Astyanax mexicanus: one gene and its partners. The main gene of each other region encodes a partner of the protein of the gene in region 2 in a complex. Links are inferred from orthologs where the notes say so. Each region holds a gene or a part of one and is shown on either strand. Other genes may lie near its edges. The genes, in order: exosc6, exosc8 and exosc1.

Region 1 (5,976 bases), on a different chromosome or scaffold from region 2:
TACTGTGATTCTTTGCAGTACTTTACAGTATCTGTGTTTCTGAAGAGGATAAAATTCTCCTAAATAATCAAATACAAGCAATTACGCATTTACTGGTGTTTAAATTTCACACAATTTAACAACCAATATTCTTCACCGCAGTAAAAATTAAAATGTATTATAGTAGATCTAAAATGAATCTGTCACACAATCTGAATTAACTCTGAGCTGATGTTTTTGTAGCTCAGAATAGATTGTTTCCATCAATAAACGTATATTTTATTATATTAATTATGTATTGCAAACAATATTTTATCCAACCCCTAGTGCCCAACTCTTGCTGTAGTCCCACCAGAACCTGAACCAGAACCAGAACCTGAACCAGAACCTGAACCAGAACCTTGGTTAAACTGGTTCAGATAAATCAGGAAAAATAATTTCAAACTTAAATGTCACATTATAGAATATGCTTAATGATGTCACTATTGCACATGTACACATTATAATAACAGTGCTAAACAGCCGTAAGAGAAACCTGTGGTGTAAGAAAATAAGACTGTCTGAATACTTTTACATATTTTTTAAGTATTTTATTGTTACACAGCTTTTACATAAATGTAAAAACTATTTTCTAGTGATATAAAATACAAACATAATAAACCATTTTTGATTCAAACTATTTTTGATTCGGTGCATCCTCACTATTCTCACACAGAAAACTCGTATCTCCAAAACAACTTTCAGTGGAAGGGAATGTTTAAAAAAAAAAAAAAAAACATTTTATTTAAAGTTATTTGAAGCATTTCTATTGGTTCACAGTGTGAACAACAAGAATTGCTGCCGCCAGTCATGTGATGCATAAACCGGTTCCGACCCTGCAGTGTAAACAGGTTTATTATGGTATATACGAATTATTTCTCAGGGGGCGGGGCTTTTCTCTTCACGGCCCGCAGGATGGCCTGCTGCACCACCGGATACAGTTTATGGCAGCTCTCCATGCACGTGCGCACGGCGGCGCTCAGCGTGTCCGCGCGCAGCTCCCCGTCCGCGTGCAGTCCCGACACCTGGTTCAGGTTGGGCAGGAGCGCGAGCGTCACGCCGCCCCGGTTCTCTTCGTAGCCCGCGAGCCAGTTGCCCCGCTCCTCCGCGAGGTCCGGGTCCACCAGGCTCGCGCCGCCGTCCTGCCGCAGCGCGGAGCCCAGGACCACGTCGTACATCTCGATACCGGCGTCCGCGAGCGCCATGGAGGCGCAGGTCACCGCGTGCGCCAGAACCGAGCCGTCATTCTCCAGAACCATCACGTTCACCTCGATCTGCGCGCGCGGGTACCGGTGCAGGCACACGGCGGGGTGCAGGCTCTCGGAGAGCGCGAGCGACAGGTCCCGCTCCCCGCTGCCCTGGATCCACGCGCCGCGCTTCCCGCAGGAGAACGGCGCGAGCCGCAGGTCGCACAGCAGGCGGCCGCTCCGCACCCCGGCCTCGTCCCGCCGCTCCGGCTCGCGCGGCCCGTAAACCGAGCACAGGATCTTAGTGTTCCCCGCTTCCAGGTAGCTCGAGCCCTTCGCCTGGCTCACGAGACCGCAGCGCGCGAACACCGGCCGCACCTCTCCGTTCCCGCGGCCCGCGCGCGGCTCCCGGGGCTCCGCGGTCTGCGCGGCGGGGGGCAGAAACAGCAGCGGGCACTGAGACTCCTCCGGTCCGCGCACGCGCTTCGTATCTACCGGCATTCTGGCTATTACACGGGGCTCACGCGCTCCTCCACCGCGTGCGCGACTACAAACAAACCCACGCAACACCGCTCTTCTTCTTCTGGGTTTGTTTTTTGGCAGACTGCAATCTCAGCGCATTACCGCCACCTGCTGGACTGAGGTGTAATCTCACCGGGATACCGGTCAATTCTCCCGTTTTGACCGGAAAACTACCGTATTTTACCCCTCTCTCCCCCCGTCCTCCCGGATAATGTTTTCCGTAAATTTTCTGTATTATATTTAAAAAAAACAAAAAAAACATTTATATGCCCCTCCAAACTGAAATGTCACTAATCTCGCGAGATTAGTGCCGACAGCGGAAACAACCCTGAAACAACCAATCAGAGAGATGGGAAGGAGAGAAAGCATTCCTGCCAAAAAACACCACACTATGAAAATACATACTCATACATACTGTACATATATAAAATATTATTCATACTCCTTCTGACTGCAGAAAATACTATTAATCACAAAAAATAATATTCAACTAAAAAGACTGTATATTAATATATATAATAATATTATTAGACATATTATATCATTGTACTATGATATTGAACCTTGGTTGGGCTGGTATGCCCAATAATAAAATAAAATAATAAAAACATACTAAAGTCTTCTTGCAAGTGTTTTTTATAAACTCTATGATTACTTTGACTGTAGTCTCTACCACTTAAACTCTAAGTTGTTATTGTAGTTCTTTCTTATCCTCTTGAGACGTTCTCTCTCTCTTTAGAGTAATTCCTGTATGTAAACAGCGCACGCTTTACGGTTTCAGTTTATTATAGTATGAACACCGGTCTCATGTTCTCCTAATCTTATCCTGGAGTGAACTGAATTAGCTGACTGTTATTACTCTTGTTTACTGTATAAATACCTGCTTTTCTCATCCTTATCCCATTTGTCTCGCCAGATTTTATGATCCCCGTGTTTGATTATTGCTTTAATTCTAATTTGCTGGAACCTGTACTTCTGCTTGTTTTGATTTCTGAGTTTCATTTTCCACTCGTCTGTTTTCTCATTTCCCTGTGTGCTGGAGCCCAGGTGAACTGTAAATTTAAAATTTGTTGACTTATTCTATAAATCATCTGGACTGTGCGTCAGGTTAAAAAAATTAACTAAACAAACAAAAACAAACAAAAAATAATAAAAATAACAATAGTAATAATAATAACAATAATAATGATAATATTAAAAAAAACGAATCCTGTCAATTAGTCCCGCATTTTTCAAGAAACTACTCAAGTATTTCAAACAGACCTGTATTTAACTTTATTACCTTCAGACTGAACTGAGTGAGTTTTTCCTCTGGTAGTGCAGTCAGTCTCTGTGTTTTCTATGTTGTGTTTAGAACACTGATAAACACACGTCCCGTCAGTATGATTATTTATATAATATAATGCGCTGTAGAGTCCTGTGTGTTCTGTAGGCGCTTTCTATTAAATACATCCTCCACCTGCTCACTCTGTCCTGTAACCCCGCCCCTTCCAACTTCATTCTCAATACTGTAGTAATAATAATAAATGTCCTGTATTCCGTGTTCTACAGGTGTTGCCATTTTCAACTGACTGTAAATTTGTATTAAAACTACTTTTCCAGCAAATTCCAGAAATAAACAAATAAAATGACCTGTATATTATATTTATATTTTTATATTTTTACACAGTAAAAGAGAGCTGACTTGTTGGTGAGCTGATGCTGGTTTCCTCACACAGAACTAAATGTACTGTTTTAATTGATCTTAAAGCTTTTAAACTCCAGTATAATAAACTCTATTAATCTCGTAAGCAGTGCTGCACTTCTATTATCTGATCTGTTTACTTTATATTAAAATACTTAATTTTATTTTATAAAATTAAAGGAATGTCCTGGACAAGCAGTTAATTACTATGTTTTATCATTTAGCTCCATTTAGCCACATTCCACATAGCCACAATAATTTTCCAAAGCAAATCAGAATATATTTACAGTGGCTTCCAAAAGTATTCATACCCTTTAAACTTTTCCACATTTTCTCTCCTTAAATACACAAACTTGATAAACCATCATAAAGTAATGCATACATGTGAAGTGAAATGAAAATGATACATGTTTTTTTGAATGTTTTATCAAATAAAAATCTAAAAGGGTGGCGTGCAAAAGTATTCATCCCCCTATATCAATACTTAGTAGAGACACTTTTCTCTGAAGTTACAGCTTCAGGTTTTTCAGGGTTTAGTCTCTACCAGCTTTAATCATCTAGAGACTGTAGACTTTAACTGGATCATTCTAACACATGAATATTCTCTGATTCTCTGATATGCTGCAACTGCAAACAGCAATTCTTGTTTCTTTTAACAATGTTTTTCTTCTTCCACTCTTCCATAAAGATCAGATTTGTGGAGAGCAGGACTTATAGTTGTTCTGTGAACAGATTCTCCTGATCTGTGGATCTCTGCAGCTCCTCCAGAGTGATCATGGGTCTCGGCTGCTTCTCTGATCAGTGCTCTCCTTGCTGGATCTGTTAGTTTGGGTGGATGGTTGGTTCATGTCTTTGTAGGTTTGTTGAAACAGTAGTAGAATATATGTTTTTGGGAGATGTTTTTATAATCTAACTCTGCTTTAAACTTCTTCTCCAAAACTTTATCTCTGATCTGTCTGCTGAGTTCTTCCTTCTTGGTCTTCATGATGCTGTTTGTTCACTAGTGTTCACTAATAAACCACTGAGCTCTTCACAGAACAGCTGTATTTATACTGAGACTAAATTACACACAGCTGGATTATTAACTCTATTAATATTATTTATTATCTATTATTAGTTGGAGTTGGACAGTAAAGACAGTTACTCCAATAAAAGCAGGATAAACTGTGTTTAATAGTCTCGGTTTTAGAAGAGACAGGGAGTGATCACCCCTATAGTGCACTATAGTGTACACTCTGGCACGTGGTCAGTTAGTTGACGCGGGTGTGTTATAGTGTCAGGTGACCCCGGGCACGGAGCGGGCACGTGCTCACAGGTCTGGCATCTTCAAAGCGCGCGCCGGGCTCACATACCTGTGCTACATGTCTCACACAGGTGAGACATTTTAAAGTGGGTCTTAATGGAGCGCGCGCCGGGCTCGCGCCGCTTATCCATCAGACTCAGACCCGCCGTGTCAGATCTCCGTTATCTCCACGGAGGAAGAGGAGCCCCGTGCGCGCGTGCTGTCTGTCCTTCCCCGTGTGCGCGTGCTGTCCGTTCTGCTCCGTGCGCGCGTGCTGTCCGTCCTGCTCCGTGCGCGTGCGGTTTGGAGCGCGAGTCACTATGGAGGAACTGGCGCGCGAGAGCATCCGCAGCCTGAGCGTGCTGGCCAAACCCGCGCGCGGTACGGAGGCTCCGCGGCTCGGTTCGTTCGGCGCCGTGTTCATCATGCTGAAATCCGCGCTCGGAGCCGGACTGCTCAACTTCCCCTGGGCCTTTCAGAGAGCGGGGGGCATCAACCGAGCTATCACCGTGGAACTGGTAATCACACAAACACACACTATACACACTATACACACACACACACACAATCCAGACTGAACTTCTCCAATGCAGGAGACACACGCACACACACACACACACACACTATACACACTATACACACAAACACACATATATGTGCATATACACATACACAAACATAAACATAATGGGAATATTTAAATTATACCACCATTAGTACCGACCCTGCGATGTGATTGGCTAAGAGCCGTTCTATGAGTACCGTTATCAGCCGGTAATGCACTGTAACCGAAGCTCTTCATGTATTACTCCGCCACATACAGGTAACCTAGCAGCGATGCAGCGCTTACAAACCAAACAGCACAGCTACAAACAGAGCAGCAATGGAACTATTTTAACTGGTGGAGTTTTTTTTATAACCAAACAAATCCTATTATCCAATAGCAATGCAATGTTTAATATTTATAGGAAAAACAGAAACATACATGGAGTTGGGGTTGATTTATCTTTTAATGAATTTAAAGTCTTATGTTTGTAAATTCAGGATATGATAGATAAATCTTCAGATAGGAAAAGAGGATTATATTTTCTTGGTAATATAAACATTTACTGGTTGTTTTAATGTCTTGTCCAACTAAAAATAGGTGGTTTAACACATTAAAACAATGTGACATAAAACAAGCGGTAAATGTACAAACAGTCTACATGTCTTTATCATTACAGGAGAAATATATTTACAATATAATTCAGCCTCCACTGAAATTAGACCATGATGCAGATCTA
Region 2 (7,333 bases):
AACTATTAACATATTTGAGGCTAGACAAAACAACTGTTATTTTTATATTTTCTTTAAGTTTTTCTTTAAGGAGATGAGAATGTCCACATTCTCTGGAGAAAGAGCTGCTCTTTGAGCTACAGTGTGCTACACCGTTTGTGGGAGGGATCGTTGATCCTCTTTTTGACTTCGATGTGCGAGACCATGACATAATTTCGATCGATTTCAATGAAATATTGAAATCGTGACACCCCTAAAAAAATACAGATAAGAAAGATATAGTAATAAACAGCTTACATCTGGACTCCTCGTTGTAGGACGGCACTACTACAGACAGCTCTCTTGAATGGGGGTCAAACAGACTAGGGAATGGCTCCTTGTTTCCTGAAGCTGTCAGAAAATATTTCTCCTGCTCTGCACGCGTCTGGTCCACCATGCTGGCTGTAACGTGGGCAATTACAATAACCTAAAGAAGAGGAGACAAATGAGATAGCTGAACCCAGCAGACACACTTCAGCAGAGCTTCAGCAAAGTATTACAAGATCTATATTAAGCTGCAGGGCTGGAGTTGAATAAAACTCCCCTAATAATAACCAGAAATGGGTGGAGTAGCCAGCGTATTGTTCCTTCAGTAATATAATGACAGGTGTTGAGTTCCCAACAGAACTGCAGTTAAAACAGCTTCATGAAAAATAAGTATACCATGGTTTCTTCTGAAATCTAGGGTAGTTAAATCTGAGATGACCCTGCTTTTGCTGGAATAACTGTCTCTAAACTCCAGATAATGCTTTTCATTTGATTTTAAGAAACCGCAGAAAAGATTTTATTTAGTCACAAAAGCATCATTAAATACAGTATGTATTTAATTTAATTACCCCACCTCATTTCACTCTTTTGCACATCTGTGTCAGCAAGGGTGGCAGCCTAAAGCAGCTGCATATATTTACTAGAAAGGGCGTCTCAAACATTTGGACATACAGATCCCTGTGTACAGCTCCCAAATCTTCTGGATTAATACAAAAGCCACTGTCTGACGAATTCCTGGAGGATTATAAAGGATTTCACCAAACCAAGACGCTGCCAGTAGTAGAAAACATGAAAACCAGGAACAGCCAGTTCTGAGGCGGCTTCTTCCCCCAGGCCATCAGGCTGCTGAACAGCCTGTAATAAAGTGTACCAGTCCACAGCCTATCACAGCTCATCTCACCTCTCTCACTGCTGCTCACCACAGACTCACTCTACACCCTGCACTTTACCTACAGTCCCACCAATACTTCTCCATCATCCAGAATACATACATCTGGAAATTTTTATCATGTTTTACTACACCCAGTAAATTTTTCACCAGAGTAATTGCATCAGCAGAGGCAGATTTTGCTATTGAAGTGCAAACAAGACTTTTTCACACTCTGTAATGAATGGATAGTTCGGTCTGTATTCTTTAAGTTCGATATGATTATAGTGGATACGATAAGAAGAAATATATCAATATATTGTCTAGCTTTACACTAAAAATAGAGGATCCTTCATCAATACAGTAAGGTGAGATTCATTCTCCTGAGATACAGCTCTGGCAAAAATTAAGAGAGCACTCCAGTTTCTGAATCAATTTCTCTGATTTTGCTATTTATAGGTTTATGTTTGAGTAAAATGAACATTGTTGTTTTATTCTATAAACTACAGACAACATTTCTCCCAAATTCCAAATAAAAATATTCTCATTTAGAGCACTTATTTACAGAAAATGAGAAATGACTGAAAAAACAAAAAAAAGATGCAGAACTTTCAGACCTCAAATAATGCAAAGAAAACAAGTTCATATTCATAAAGTTTTAAGAGTTCAGATTTTTTTTTTTTTTGTGGAAAACCCCTAGTTTCTTATAACAGTTTTCATGCATCTTGGCATCATGTTCTCATCCTCCACCAGTCTTACACACTGCTTTTGGATAACTTTATGCTGCTTTACTCCTGGTGCAAAATTCAAACAAGCAGTTCAGTTTGGTGGTTTGATGGTTTGTGATCATCCATCTTCCTCTTGATTATATTCCAGAGGAATATATTTCAATTTGTTAATATTAAAGAAAATCAATTCTAAGTGGTCTCTTAATTTTTTCCTGAGGTTATATCAGTCTAAATTGACTAAAAACAACAACTTTACAACGGGGATTGAGAAAAAACATAACTTTAATTGTAGAAAGATTTGTTTAGATCAGGACATTGACTAAATATAAATAAATATCTCAGCCAGAGTAAAAAATAGAGATCAGTGATCCAGGCAGAGGAGCTCCAGGCCCTCAGATTCTGTAAAATTTTGACAGAAACACCAAAACATTAAACTCACCAGGAGTAAGAGGAGCAGGAGCAGAGCTGCAGCGACCTGGAGGATCTGACACACACACTGATCCATCATCATCACCATCATCCTCTTCCTCTCACAGCCCAGAGACACCCCGCAACTACAGCCCGCTCATAGGGGGGAGTGAACAGGAGTTATAACCGGTATTAAAACGCCATGGCTGAAGTTCTTCCACCTCACAGTGAAACAGCACTGCGGAAATGACCCGCCGCTGCTCCACATCATCATTACAGCACACCGCCACAGCTGCTGCACCCCGAGCATGCGCACTTCACACCGCCATGATACAGGAGAAATCACCCCCCACCGATAGAGGGAGCCCGCGAGCGAGTCCTCAATGACTGGGAGTGAGTGAAGCTAAAAGGATAAAAACTAGCTGTATCTGTGTATCAGTGTCTAAAACTTGTTTAAAAATTATAACAATGTAATTCTCATAAAGAAATTTAAACTTAACTGTATAATAATAATTATTATTATTATTATTATTATTATTTTTACAGCAATTACTGTAGAAGTGTTCTTTAAGCACCACACTTATGTAACGTTAGACGTCCTAAAGTATGCATCATTTCTTTGTACTTAAAAGTAGTTTATTCTAATTTTACAACTCAAGTTCTGAAAGTAAATGTATTATATGTTATGCAGCTATTTATTACAGAAAGCAGTGAAAAGGTTTATTATCATATTGTAGGCAGTAGGGGTGGGCAATATTATATCATATACAATATATCGTGACACAGAAATATCATGATATTAAAAATGCATATCGTGATAATAGGGCTGTTCTGTCTTAAAAGTAGTCTATTATTTACTGTGAAGCTTTAGGTGTATTTATTGTATAATTGTTTTAGTTTGCAGTTTATATGCATGCACTAAATATTCTGCAATATTTTTGCTGCATTATATTATTTTATGCTATATTATTTATTTTGCCACATTATGATTATACTGTTATACTATTATACTATATTCCTGAAATGAATTAATTATTTTAGTTTTCCTATATCGCCAAGTATATCGTTATCGCAAAAATACCCTGAAATATCGTGATATTATTTTAGAGCCATATCACCCACCCCTAGTAGGCAGAAAGCACGAGGAAGCAGAGTAAAAGGCAGAACCGGAGCATCGAAGTCTTCTGATATGAAGATGACACTGCCATCTCCTCTTGTCGTTTATCACTGTCTCTTTGCTGTGAAGATGCTTGAAGTTAAGGAAGAAGACACCGCAGACACTGCCTTACGTGTAATAGACAATATCAACAATATCTTCAAGGCGGTCCAAGGCTAGGCCAGCCCTGAAGAGAGAAGTTGTTCAATTCTGATGTTCCTGCTCTCTCTTCTCCCCAGTTTTGGGGACCTGCTTAAATAGGGTATTATAGTATACATCTGTAAACACTGTAAACATGCTCTAGACATACACAGCCATAGGAGGAGTCTACCTAGAAGAATGGTCACATACTTTAGTGAAGAGAAATAAAGAGAATATATATATATATAAGCTGAAAATGTAGAGGTAACGCAGTTGAACACAATAGACAGTGACACCAAGTTGATAAAGTGCATAAAGTGAGGATAACTGAAAAAGCAAATAGACAGTTGTATAATTACTTTAGCAGTGCAAAAGATACGTAAACAGTAGATGAGTGAACTAGTGAATAAACAAGTTCTGCAAAATAGGGTAGAACTATGAAAATAGTTTAAATGGTTTTGTGTTAAGGAAATGAGAAACGTGAACAGTATTAAAAGAAAAACACTGATAAACTCTGATAAATTCTGATTTTGCTCAGCTGCTCCATATGAACACATTAATTTTGGAATCACTCTAGAGGGCCCTGTGGAAGAGACTCTGAAGTGGCCCCTCTCCTCTCTACAGGCTCTCTGATTACAGCACACGCCTCCAGACCGGCCCCGGTCCGGGGGAGGATTCTCAGCGCGCCCCCTGCTGGACTGGAAGACCCGCGTCCCCTTCTTCTGACGTCATCCGCCCTCTTCACGTGGTGTTTTCCTCAGCATCATGGCGGCGGGGTTCAAGTAAGTGGAGCGGACTGGAACTTACAGTTATATCAGCAGCAGCGGCGTGCTTTATTTATATAGTTATATCAGCAGAGTGCTGAATTTCTGTTAATATTACAGCTTAGGCTAAATATATAGAGAGTATATCTGGAGTATCACAGCTGACTGATCTCTCTTAATGTTGTACACGAGCTAATCTGTCCCTGTACTTGTTATTGTACTGCTCTTTTACTAAATAAACCAGATAGTGTTAATTATAAAACTGTCTAAATAAATTTAATGTGTTTTATCAGAACTGCAGAGCCTCTGGAGTATCACAGGAGCTTCTTGGTAAGTTTAACTACTTTATTTACTTCAGTACATCTACATGTACTCTACAAGACATGATCCAGTGTAGACACGTCCAGTTTTCTTTTTAAATCAGAGGTTATTAATAAAGATCTGTCCACAGTTTGCTGTACTAAACCGACTCTACTCTACTAAAAAAGGCCTGAGGTTGCAGTAAACAGGAACATAGCTGTGAGGAATTGATTGCATTCAGACATAACAATGTGCAGCATGTGAGACGTTTCAGGAACAGATTCGTTCACATTACAGTCAATATATCTCAGCCTCCCCCAGACTAAACTTCAGTTTGTTCTGGCCAAATCGTTATGCCTTAAGTGGTGTACATCACTATGATCACCCTGACCTAGGATGATGACTGGTCTTAACTTTTTTGAGGAGACTGCTCTAATCTTAAAACAGATGCCATATATCTCCTATACCATTTATATCTCAGATAGCCCATACAATACTGATTTAAATGTTTACTTTTCATTCAGAGAAGAGGTCTTGTCAGACCATAAAGTTTTAACCATGGTTCCATATGAGTCACTCAGAAGAATTAACCAAATATCATAAAATAAAACTGGAAAACATAGTGATCATGTTAGATATTGATTAAGATAAAATACTGATTTTATCAGTACTTTACTTTTGGAGATGTGGTGTATTTCGCTGTAGATTCACACAGTCCTGCTTCTCTTCATATAGAAAGAAAACTGCAGGCCAGATGGCAGAGAACTGGGAGAGTTCAGACCCACAACGTTAAATATAGGTAAGCTGTTGCGCATTGTTATAAATGTATGACTTGTATTCTGTTTTGGTGTATAAAGTGGATTGCAAAAGTATTCATACCCCTTGAACTTTTTTACATTTCACCGTAAAACTACACACTTTTTTTTATTAAGATTTTAAATGATAGACTGAAGAGAGACTATAAAGGAGATTCACCTTCCAGCAAGACAATGACCCCAAACATACAGCCAGAGCTACAGTGGAATTATTTAAATCAAAGAATATTCATGTGTTAGAATGGCCCAGTCAAAGTCCTGACCTAAATACTGCTGTTCACAAACGCTTTTCATCCAACCTGACTGATCTTCAGCTGTTTTACAAAGAAAAATGGGTAAAAATCTCAGTCTCTAGATGTGCAAAGCTCAAAGCTGGTCAAGACATGCCCAAAAGAAAGGTGGTGGCTCCACTAAGTATTGATAGGGGGGGCTGAATACTTGCATGTCACTTTTTTGCAGATGTCTTTTTGATTAAAATTTTAAAAACTATGTATTAATTTTATTACACTTCAGTTATTTGCTACTGTGTGGTTCAATCACTTAAAACCTCAATAATATACATTTATGTGTGAAAAGGTTGTGATGAATGTAAGATCTTAACTTTACATCCTGAAAATCCTTTATATGCAGGTTCGATTGGAACAGCTGATGGTTCAGCAATGGTGAAAATTGGAAACACTACAGTGATCTGTGGCATAAAAGCAGTAAGCAGCATCCCGCACTCCCTCAAATACTCACATATTGATCACAAATAAACATAACAAACACTTCAAAACTTCATGTTTTAAAACAGGAACTAGCCGCGCCGCCCTCAGATGCTCCTGATAAAGGATATATTGGTATGTTTGAGTGAGTTGTTATAATAATTATTAAAGGCAATCGTCTGTGAGGGTAACTGAAGTCTGACTGGCTCTTTCGTGTCTCAGTTCCGAATGTAGACCTGCCTCCACTCTGCTCGTCCAGATTTCGGCCGGGGCCACCAGGAGAGCAGGCGCAGGCCGCCAGCCAGTTCATCGCTGACGTCATTGATGGGTGAGATGAGTTTCTTTGTGTCAGTGACTCTAATTGGGACTTTGTGGTCAGATTCTTAAAGCTTTGTGAAGGTTAAAAACTATACTAATGGTTTTATGACACCATTTTCTCCCCAATTTACGCGGCCAATTACCCAACCCACTCATTAGGACTCCCCCCTATCACTAGTGATGACCCAACACACCAGGAGGGTGAAGACTAACACATGCTTCCTCTGATACATGTGAAGTCAGACACCGCTTCTTTTCGAGCTGCTGCTGATGATGTAGCATTAACGAGCAGCATCACAGCGCTAACACTCGGAGGAAAGCACAGCGACTCGGATCTGATACATCAGCTCACAGACGCCCTGTGCTGCAGACATCACCCTAGGAGTGATGTGGGGAGAGAGCGCCATCTACTGTACTGTACCCACCCGGAGGGAGCAGGGCCAATTGTGCTCCCTCTCAGCGCCGGCAGCTTGATGGTAAAGCTGCATGAGTGGGGGTTCGAACCCACGACCTCCCGCTCATAGTGGCAGCGCTTTAGACCGCTGGACCACTTGGCACCCCTTCCCAGTGAGTTTTGGAGAAAGTTTTTGGATGCAAAACACTAAAACTTAAAGGGAAGGTGGAACATCAGCAGTGAAGTCATTACCAATTAACACAGAGGTTCACTTACTTTTTCTAGCCTGCACAGTGGATGTTTACTCTGTGTGCTAAGGCTACGTTCACATTATAAGCCACACTGCTGAAATCAGATTTTCTGCTCAGACTGAATTTGGCTCTTTTGACAGTTCACATTCACTGTAAATGTAAGTGATCTGTATCTGTGTGTAATGTGAACGAATCTGTTCC
Region 3 (7,929 bases), on a different chromosome or scaffold from region 2:
TCCGTTTAACTCCATTCACTCCTATTCATTTTGGTCTCGCTTGCGGGCTCCCTCTAGCACTTCGCAGTGATATTCCGGTGTGTGTGAGTGTTATTTGTGTGTGTGTGTGTGTGTGTTTGTGTATCTCCAGCAAGTCGGTGAGTGACCGGCGGCTCGTGCGCTCCTCCTGCCCGCGCTCTGAGAGCAGTATGTCCGCCTACAGGCTGGTTCTGATCCGGCACGGGGAGAGCTGCTGGAACCGGGAGAACCGATTCTGCGGCTGGTTCGATGCGGATCTCAGCGATACCGGAGCGGAGGAAGCCCGCAGAGGAGGAGAGGCGCTCAGAGGTGTGTGTACAGTGTGTGTGTGTGTGTGTGTGTGTGTGTGTGTACAGTGTGTGTGTGTACTTGTGGATGGATTAAAGATGAGGTTTGAAGCTTAGAGGCAGCTTACTAGGGACACTTTATAGCATAGCCGCCATTTATCTATGTGTCATGTTTTTGCTAATTCTATGCTAAAAAAAAAACCTCAGTCCTGTTACTTTCATTTCTGTTACTTAAAACATAACAAGTAACAGGAGTGAGTTATCGTAACAGGAGTGAGTGTCAGTAACAGGATTAAGTTCCAATATCATGAGTGAGTACAAGTAACAACAATGAGTGCCATTAACTAGAATGAGTGCCAGTAACATGAATGAGTACCTGTAACAGAAAATAAGTGCCATTAACAGGAGTGAGTTCCATTAACAGGACTGAGTGCCTGTAGCAGGAGTGAATTCCAGTGACATGAGTGAGTGCCGGTAACAGGAATGAGTGGCAGTAACAGAAGTGAGTTCCAGTAACCAGAGTGAGTTCCAGCTACAGGACCGAGTTCCAGTTACAGGAATGAGTGCCAGTAACAGGAATGAAGTTCCAGTAACAGGAGTGATTTTTATGTCATAAGCATATATTATTTGGACATTAAAGAAAATCACACTTTCGTGTAAGGTAAAAAAAGGATCCAGCTAAAATAGATCCAGATACTGTTCAGATATTAAATGCATGTTAATGTCCATGTGTAAACAGGTAGAAAATTAAGGCAATACATATTAACTTTCATTCTTTTCCATGATTTCATTCCTTCCATCCTTTTATCTCTCTCTCTCTCTCTCTCTCTTTCTCTCTCTCTCTCTGCTGTAGAGGCGGGGTATGAGTTTGATGTGTGCTACACGTCGGTACTGAAGCGTGCTATCCGGACTCTGTGGCTGGTTCTGGAGAGTATAGATCAGATGTGGCTTCCTGTGCACCGGACCTGGCGTCTGAACGAGCGGCACTACGGCGGACTAACTGGACTGAACAAGGCCGAGACTGCAGCCAAGCACGGAGAGGAGCAGGTGAAGATCTGGAGACGCTCGTACGACACGCCTCCTCCGCCCATGGAGTCCGACCACGACTTCTACTCCACCATCAGCCAGGTACAGCCTGTACAAAAATGCCTTAGAAGTATGCATTAGAATTAAATCTATTTCCACTGATCTCCATTAAGAGATAAGAATGTTTTTTCCTTCTCCTGTAAATTTTATGTTTTTAAGATTTTTACATTTTTGCATGATGAAAACAATAAATCAGAAGTTGTTAGTTTTCCATAAAATGATTTCCATCTTCTCTGGGTTCTGTGGTTACAGGACCGCCGGTACACCGACCTGACAGAGGACCAGCTGCCGGCGTGTGAGAGCCTGAAGGACACAATCGCTCGAGCCCTGCCGTTCTGGAACGAGGAGATAGTACCGCAGATCAAAGACGGGAAGAGGGTTCTGATCGCTGCCCACGGCAACAGTCTCCGTGGCATCGTGAAGCACCTGGAGGGTGAGACATTAAAGCAGATACATGTATATGATATGAACATACTCACACTCACAGTTTTTTATTTCTAAAAAAAGCTTAAAATATACACTTGTTGTTGATTCTTCACAAAAAAATTACAGTTTCATATCTTTGTGTTTGAAGCCTGAAATGTGGCAAATGGTTGAAAAGTACAAGGGGGCCGAATACTTTTGCAAGGCTGTAGGTATTGGGACGCCTGCTCATTCACAGTGTCTCATTCTGAAATCAGGGGTATTAAAACGAGTTTATCTTGATTTTGTTGGAGTAACTGTCTCTATTGTCCAGAGAAGACTTTCTAATAGATGTTGACATTGGCATCTAATAGCATTGCTGTGAGGATTTGATTGCATTAAGCAATTTGGACATTTTCTGATCTGGATCTGATTGTTTCAGGAATGTCGGAGGAGGCCATCATGGAGCTGAACCTCCCCACCGGAATCCCCATCCTGTACGAACTGGACAAGAACCTGAAACCAGTGAAGCCCATGCAGTTCCTGGGGGACGAGGAGACCGTCCGCAAGGCCATGGAGGCCGTCGCTGCTCAGGGCAAGGCCAAGAAATAGAGAGAGAGAAAGAGAGAGAGAGAGAGAGAGAGAGAGAGAGAGAGAGAGAGAGAGAGAGAGAAAGAGAATAAATAGTTCACTTTATTTATCAGCTTCTAGATTTTACACTCTATCAGCACATGCCCACTATTGTGAACAATACTGTTATAATAATTAAAAAACACAGTCTTAGGGCCCTATCATACACCCTATGCAAGGCACATGGTGATGCTTATTGCTATCTTACTCCCCATCAACTCTTAATGAGCTTCTGGTGTATCTTCACAGCGTGGATGTGCAGGTCAGTATCCTTTGCTGAGACTCACAAAAGCTCTGCGCTGTTGAGATACGAACGCGCCAAAGTCAGAGCTCACCCGACTCTTAAAGGGAATGATTACTGACACACTGATTAGAGGGAGAACATTCTAGAATAGCATTTATTTGGTTGGAGAATATTCCATAACAGTGTTAATAAGAGAAAGTCATTTTAGAGCATCATTAATTTGGAAGGAAAATAGATGTTTGTTGGGTTGGCGGGTGTTGGGTTGCCAATTGTTGTAATGCCATTTGTTGGGTTGCTGTATGTGTTGGGTTGGTATGTATTGGGGTGGCATGTTTTGGGTTGTCGTGTGTTGGGTTGGGTTGCCGTGCTTTGGATTGGCATGTGTTGGGATGACGTATGTTGGGTTGCCATTTGTTGGATTGGCATGTGTTGGGATGACGTATGTTGGGTTGCCATTTGTTGGATTGGCATGTGTTGGGATAGTGTATGTTGGGTTGCCATTTGTTGGATTGCCACTTGTTGGGTTGCCGTATGTGTTGGGTTGCCGTGTGTTGGTTTGGCATGTGTTGGGTTGGTGTGTGTTGGATTGGCGTGCATTGGGTTGGCGTGCGTTGGGTTGGCGTGTGTTGGGTTGGCGTTTGTTGGTTTGCTGATTGTGTTGAGTTGCCATTTGTTGGATTGCCACTTGTTGGGTTGCTGTATGTGTCGGATTGCCGAGTGTTGGTTTGGCATGTGTTGGGTTGGTGTGCGCTGGATTGGCCTGCATTGGGTTGGCGTGTGTTGGTTTGCTGATTGTTGAGTTGCCATTTGTTGGGTTGTAATAAATATATTACAACCCATATTTGAGTGTGCTCAGTGTGAGGACTCTGCAGGATTATTCCAGCACTGCTGCCACTGTATGAACATTAGAGTGAAAGGCACTTGGCATTGCTCTTTAGTGGCAGCTTTAGTGCCAGCCGTATCCAGGCAACGGCATTCATAGAGACGGGGCAGCGGATAAATTAGTGATTTTTATTTTTTACAGGAAGGAGACTAAATGCACGGCGTTCCAAATCACTCCATGACTCACGCTGAGCTCCGGTGTCCTACATGCCTGGACGCCCACAGTACAGCACTTAAAATACCCCCCATACACACACACACACACACACACGCACACACACACACAGCCGGAGAGATCACATGCGTTTTAGAGCTTCTGCACTGCTCGAGTCCACTAAAGATAATAAGTCTGTGTGTTCCTAATGTTCTGAGGTATTATAACATGAAACGGCTGTTTCTCCCTGTCTGATTGTAAACCTAATTTCTATTTAAAGAAAAATGAGTTGATAATATATTTATTATATGCTTGACTGAATGGCACTGTCCTCTAGTTTGTGTGCAATCACTAATAAATGTTACAAAAATCTAAAAACAATTGCACTGTTTTTTCTTTAAAGTTGGTGTCAAATATGTGTATATACAGGTGCATCTAAAAAAATAGAATATCATTGAAAATTTACTTTATTTCAGTAACTTAGTTGAAAATGTGAAACTCATATATTATATATAATGTATTACACACAGAGTGATCTATTTTAAGCGTTGATGTATTTTATTGTTGACCATTATAGCTTACAGCCAATTAAAACCCATATATCTATATAATATATGAGTTTTAAACTGAATTACTGAAATAAATAAAATAATAAAATAATGGATTTGATTTGACATTAATTATTTTACAGATATTTCATTTAAAATACAATACAGTTTGTTTGCATATGTTGCAATTATACAAGGAACAACCTTCCTCTCAAACTTCCATTTTAATGTAAAAAATAATTTAAAGGATATTATAATATTGTTTTTCAGATTAATAGAATTTAGATCCCGAATATGTAAAACATTAAATTAAATTTAATTAAATTATGCATTCTAAGGTCTGCACTTTTATAGCTTGCAACATCCTAAATATATAATTTTTTAAATCTACTCTATTTTATATTCTTTGATTTAGTATATGTTTAATTTATTATCTCCAAATATAAATATAAAAATATGTATTTTTGTCATAATATATGTATATATTAAATTAAATTAATTTACACTTATTATGTTTTGTATAATTATTATTTTTATATATATATTTTTTAATTTGATTAATTAATATATTTGTTAAAAAAAAAAACATGCACTTTTAAAAGTGAGGTCACGACTTCCAGATCTTCCACAACAAAGATGGCGCCTGGACATGACTTAGCTCACTTCCGCGTAAGCGGCCAATCACAGGCCGCGCTCTCTGCTACTACCAACCAATCAGCACGCTCCCTTCTCTTCTTGAAAACATGTCGCCCATGAAGCTGTGTGTTCCAGGTAGGCGAGTCTTTTTAGCGCGTTTAGCGCTTTATTTAGCGATAAATCAGATTATTAGCGCTTAGTTTAAAAGAGGGGGGATGCTGTGCGGGCTGTGGGCGGGGTGTGGGGTAAATATTAGGTTTTAATAAAGTTTTAAAGTGGTTTTAACGGGGAATAGGAGTGAAAACGTGCTCGATGTGTAGCAACACATGACTGCAGAACATTTAAATATGGGTTATAATTTATATATGGACTATTTTACAGCTAATAACGGGGTTTTATTGGTTATTAATAACATCAGTAGTGCAAATAACAGTAATAAGTAATAGTACCAGCAGCAGCAATAACAGTAGTACGGATAGAAGCAACCGCAGCAGTATTATTATTTTAATAATACGTCTATATGTATACAGCTCTGGAAAATATTAAGAGATCACTTCAGTTTCTGAATCAGTTTCTCAGTTTTGCTATTTATAGGTTTGTGTTTGAGTAAAAAAAAAACGTTGTTTTATTCTATAAACTACAGATAACATTTCTCCCAAATTCCGAATAAATTTATTGTCATTTAGAGCATAAATTTGCAGAAAATGGGAAATGGCTGAAATAACAAAATAGATCCAACGAAAACAAGTTCATATTCATAAAGTTTTAAGAGTTCAGAAATCAATATTTGGTGGAATAACCCTGGTTTTTAATCACAGTTTTTTTCATGCATCTTGGCATCATGTTCTCCTCCACCAGTCTTACACACTGCTTTTTGATAACTTTATGCTATTCTCTCCTGTTGCAAAAATTCAAGCAGTTCAGTTTGGTTTGATGGTTTGTGATCATCCATCTTCCTCTTGATTATATTCCAGAGGTTTTCAGTTTGGTCAAATCAAAGAAATTCATAATTGATAATGCTTAAAATAATAATAACAGCAGTAATAAGTAAAGTAGTAATAATAATAATAGGTATATAGTGCAGTATGAGTGTGTGTGTGTGTGTTGTTGACTGACTTTTACTCACTCTAACTCGTTTGGTGAGCCTGGCCCACCCCTCAGGCAAGCAGCTGCCAAACATTCCACTTTGACTTTCAGCTCCAGCTCTCTCTCCCTCGTGTTTCCCTCGTGTAAAAGCTGCTGCTGGATGTGTTTTAACATGATCACAGGCTTCACACACTTCCAGTGCCATTCTCAGGTTAACACGTTTATTAATAAGACCTGTAGTAACACTGCAGTGCCGCTGTTAGATTTGTGTTGGTTTAAGAACTCCAGCAGCACTGCTGCACTGCCTGATCCACTCACTGTACCAGCAGCACAATACACACTAACACTTTATACACCACCACCATGCTAATCAGTGCTCATCACTGCATAACTGTAAATATAGCTATATGTCCAAATATTTGTGGACACACGTTCTAATAAATGCATTTATTAGCTAGGCCAGTTTTCCCACTCATTCAGCTGTTGATGACACAACACAAAAAAGGGTAAAGACTAGCTCATGCCTCGTCTGATACATGTGAAGTCAGCCACCGCCTCTTTTCAGAGGAAAGCGCAGCTAGAGAAGACCTTCTACTATATTTTAGATTAAAGCATTGCTGTGAGGCTTGGATTGCATTGAGCCCCACAATCCAAGAGTTAGTGAGGAGGTCAGGATTTTGGGTAATTCATCTCAAAAGGATAAGTATTGGGTGGAGCTCCATCATTCCAGACTCCCAGTGCTGGTTTATGGCATGGTGCCAGTAGGTTTATGTATATGTTCTCCAGAGAGTCCTATTCTTTTTTTTTTTTATATAATTGATTTCTGATTTTTTTTTCCGTTTTCTCCCAATTTGGTCATCCAATAGTCCTATTGCATGGATTTCCAATGGGTGGAACTTTATTAAAGTATCTGAATGCATTTATTTGTATGTATTTGGGTATATAGTTAATTTTAGCTGAAAGCTTTATATATATATATATATATATGTGTGTGTGTGTGTGTGTGTGTGTGTTGCAGGTGAAAGGCTGTGCAGTACGGAGGACTGTATCCCCGGGGCAGGAACGTATCTGAGGCATGGCTACATCTTCGCCTCGCTCGCTGGATACGTGCTCAGGAGGAACGAGGGCGAGGAGGTGAGGAACCTGCAGGGATTAACGCTGGTTGCGCAATCGAGGCATGCGCCTAATATTACTGTAGCACAGTGGAGATGTATGCAAATCGGTATTGCGAAATGGTTTGGACATATTTCTGTAGGTTTGATCTCAGTCACACACCCAACCACACACACACACACACCTGTTTTAAGTATGTGGTGTGGGATGGTATGTCTGTACGTCTTCAAAATGACAGATTGCTATTAAAATATGATATTGTTAAAATGCCTTTAAACAGGCCCTAGAGTGTTTTAATCTTAGTATAGATGAATGAGAGTTCAGTACATGAAAGTGAGAAAACAGGCTGATTCCAGAATCCCAAAACTGTTACATCACAGTCCTGACAGTGTAAAAAAAAAAAAAGACTACGGATGTGTTCTTACTAGACACTCTTCTAAAGGGTCTAAAGTTCTGCCACTATGATCGGGAGATTGCTGGTTTGAATCCCGGTCATACAGCTTGCCATCAAGCTCTGCCATCAGCTGCCAGAGCCCTGAGAGAGCACAATTGGCCTTGCTCTCTCTCTGGGTGGGTACAGTAGATGGCGCTTATTCCCCTCATCACTCCAAAAGGGTGATGTCGATCAGCACAAGGCGTCTGTGAGCTGATGTATCAGAACCGAGACGCTGCGCTTTTTCTTTCAAAAAGAGTCAGAGTCTGAATTTACATACTAGTCTTTGCCCTCTTGGTTATGAGGCATCACTAGTGATGTATATCTGGCTTATCTAAATTTGGGAGAAAATTAAGAAAATAATTATAAATAAATGAGAAAATGCCCTATAAAAAGGCTCTCTGAGGCTA

The links.
Region 1: exosc8 (region 2) and exosc6 share a complex: the UniProt entries of both Homo sapiens proteins name them as parts of the RNA exosome core complex. The link is inferred for Astyanax mexicanus from reciprocal best matches to the Homo sapiens genes EXOSC8 and EXOSC6.
Region 3: exosc8 (region 2) and exosc1 share a complex: the UniProt entries of both Homo sapiens proteins name them as parts of the RNA exosome core complex. The link is inferred for Astyanax mexicanus from reciprocal best matches to the Homo sapiens genes EXOSC8 and EXOSC1.

Annotation. Positions count from the first base shown.
Region 1 is NW_026040053.1:744,129-750,104, reverse strand, and holds exosc6 (exosome complex component MTR3), read right to left. Parts: upstream 1,962-5,976; 5' UTR 1,707-1,961; coding exon 891-1,706; 3' UTR 555-890; downstream 1-554. Other genes in the region: slc38a8b (putative sodium-coupled neutral amino acid transporter 8), read left to right, coding at 5,014-5,211. UniProt on the Homo sapiens protein: Non-catalytic component of the RNA exosome complex which has 3'->5' exoribonuclease activity and participates in a multitude of cellular RNA processing and degradation events.
Region 2 is NC_064427.1:39,561,122-39,568,454, forward strand, and holds the start of exosc8 (exosome complex component RRP43), read left to right. Parts: upstream 1-4,281; 5' UTR 4,282-4,351; coding exon 4,352-4,368; intron 4,369-4,643; coding exon 4,644-4,680; intron 4,681-5,385; coding exon 5,386-5,449; intron 5,450-6,095; coding exon 6,096-6,169; intron 6,170-6,258; coding exon 6,259-6,304; intron 6,305-6,391; coding exon 6,392-6,497; intron 6,498-7,333. Other genes in the region: alg5 (dolichyl-phosphate beta-glucosyltransferase), read right to left, coding at 277-445, 2,321-2,401. UniProt on the Homo sapiens protein: Non-catalytic component of the RNA exosome complex which has 3'->5' exoribonuclease activity and participates in a multitude of cellular RNA processing and degradation events.
Region 3 is NC_064428.1:35,417,294-35,425,222, reverse strand, and holds the start of exosc1 (exosome complex component CSL4), read left to right. Parts: upstream 1-4,922; 5' UTR 4,923-4,994; coding exon 4,995-5,022; intron 5,023-6,991; coding exon 6,992-7,107; intron 7,108-7,929. Other genes in the region: pgam1b (phosphoglycerate mutase 1b), read left to right, coding at 189-327, 1,159-1,433, 1,644-1,824, 2,236-2,405. UniProt on the Homo sapiens protein: Non-catalytic component of the RNA exosome complex which has 3'->5' exoribonuclease activity and participates in a multitude of cellular RNA processing and degradation events.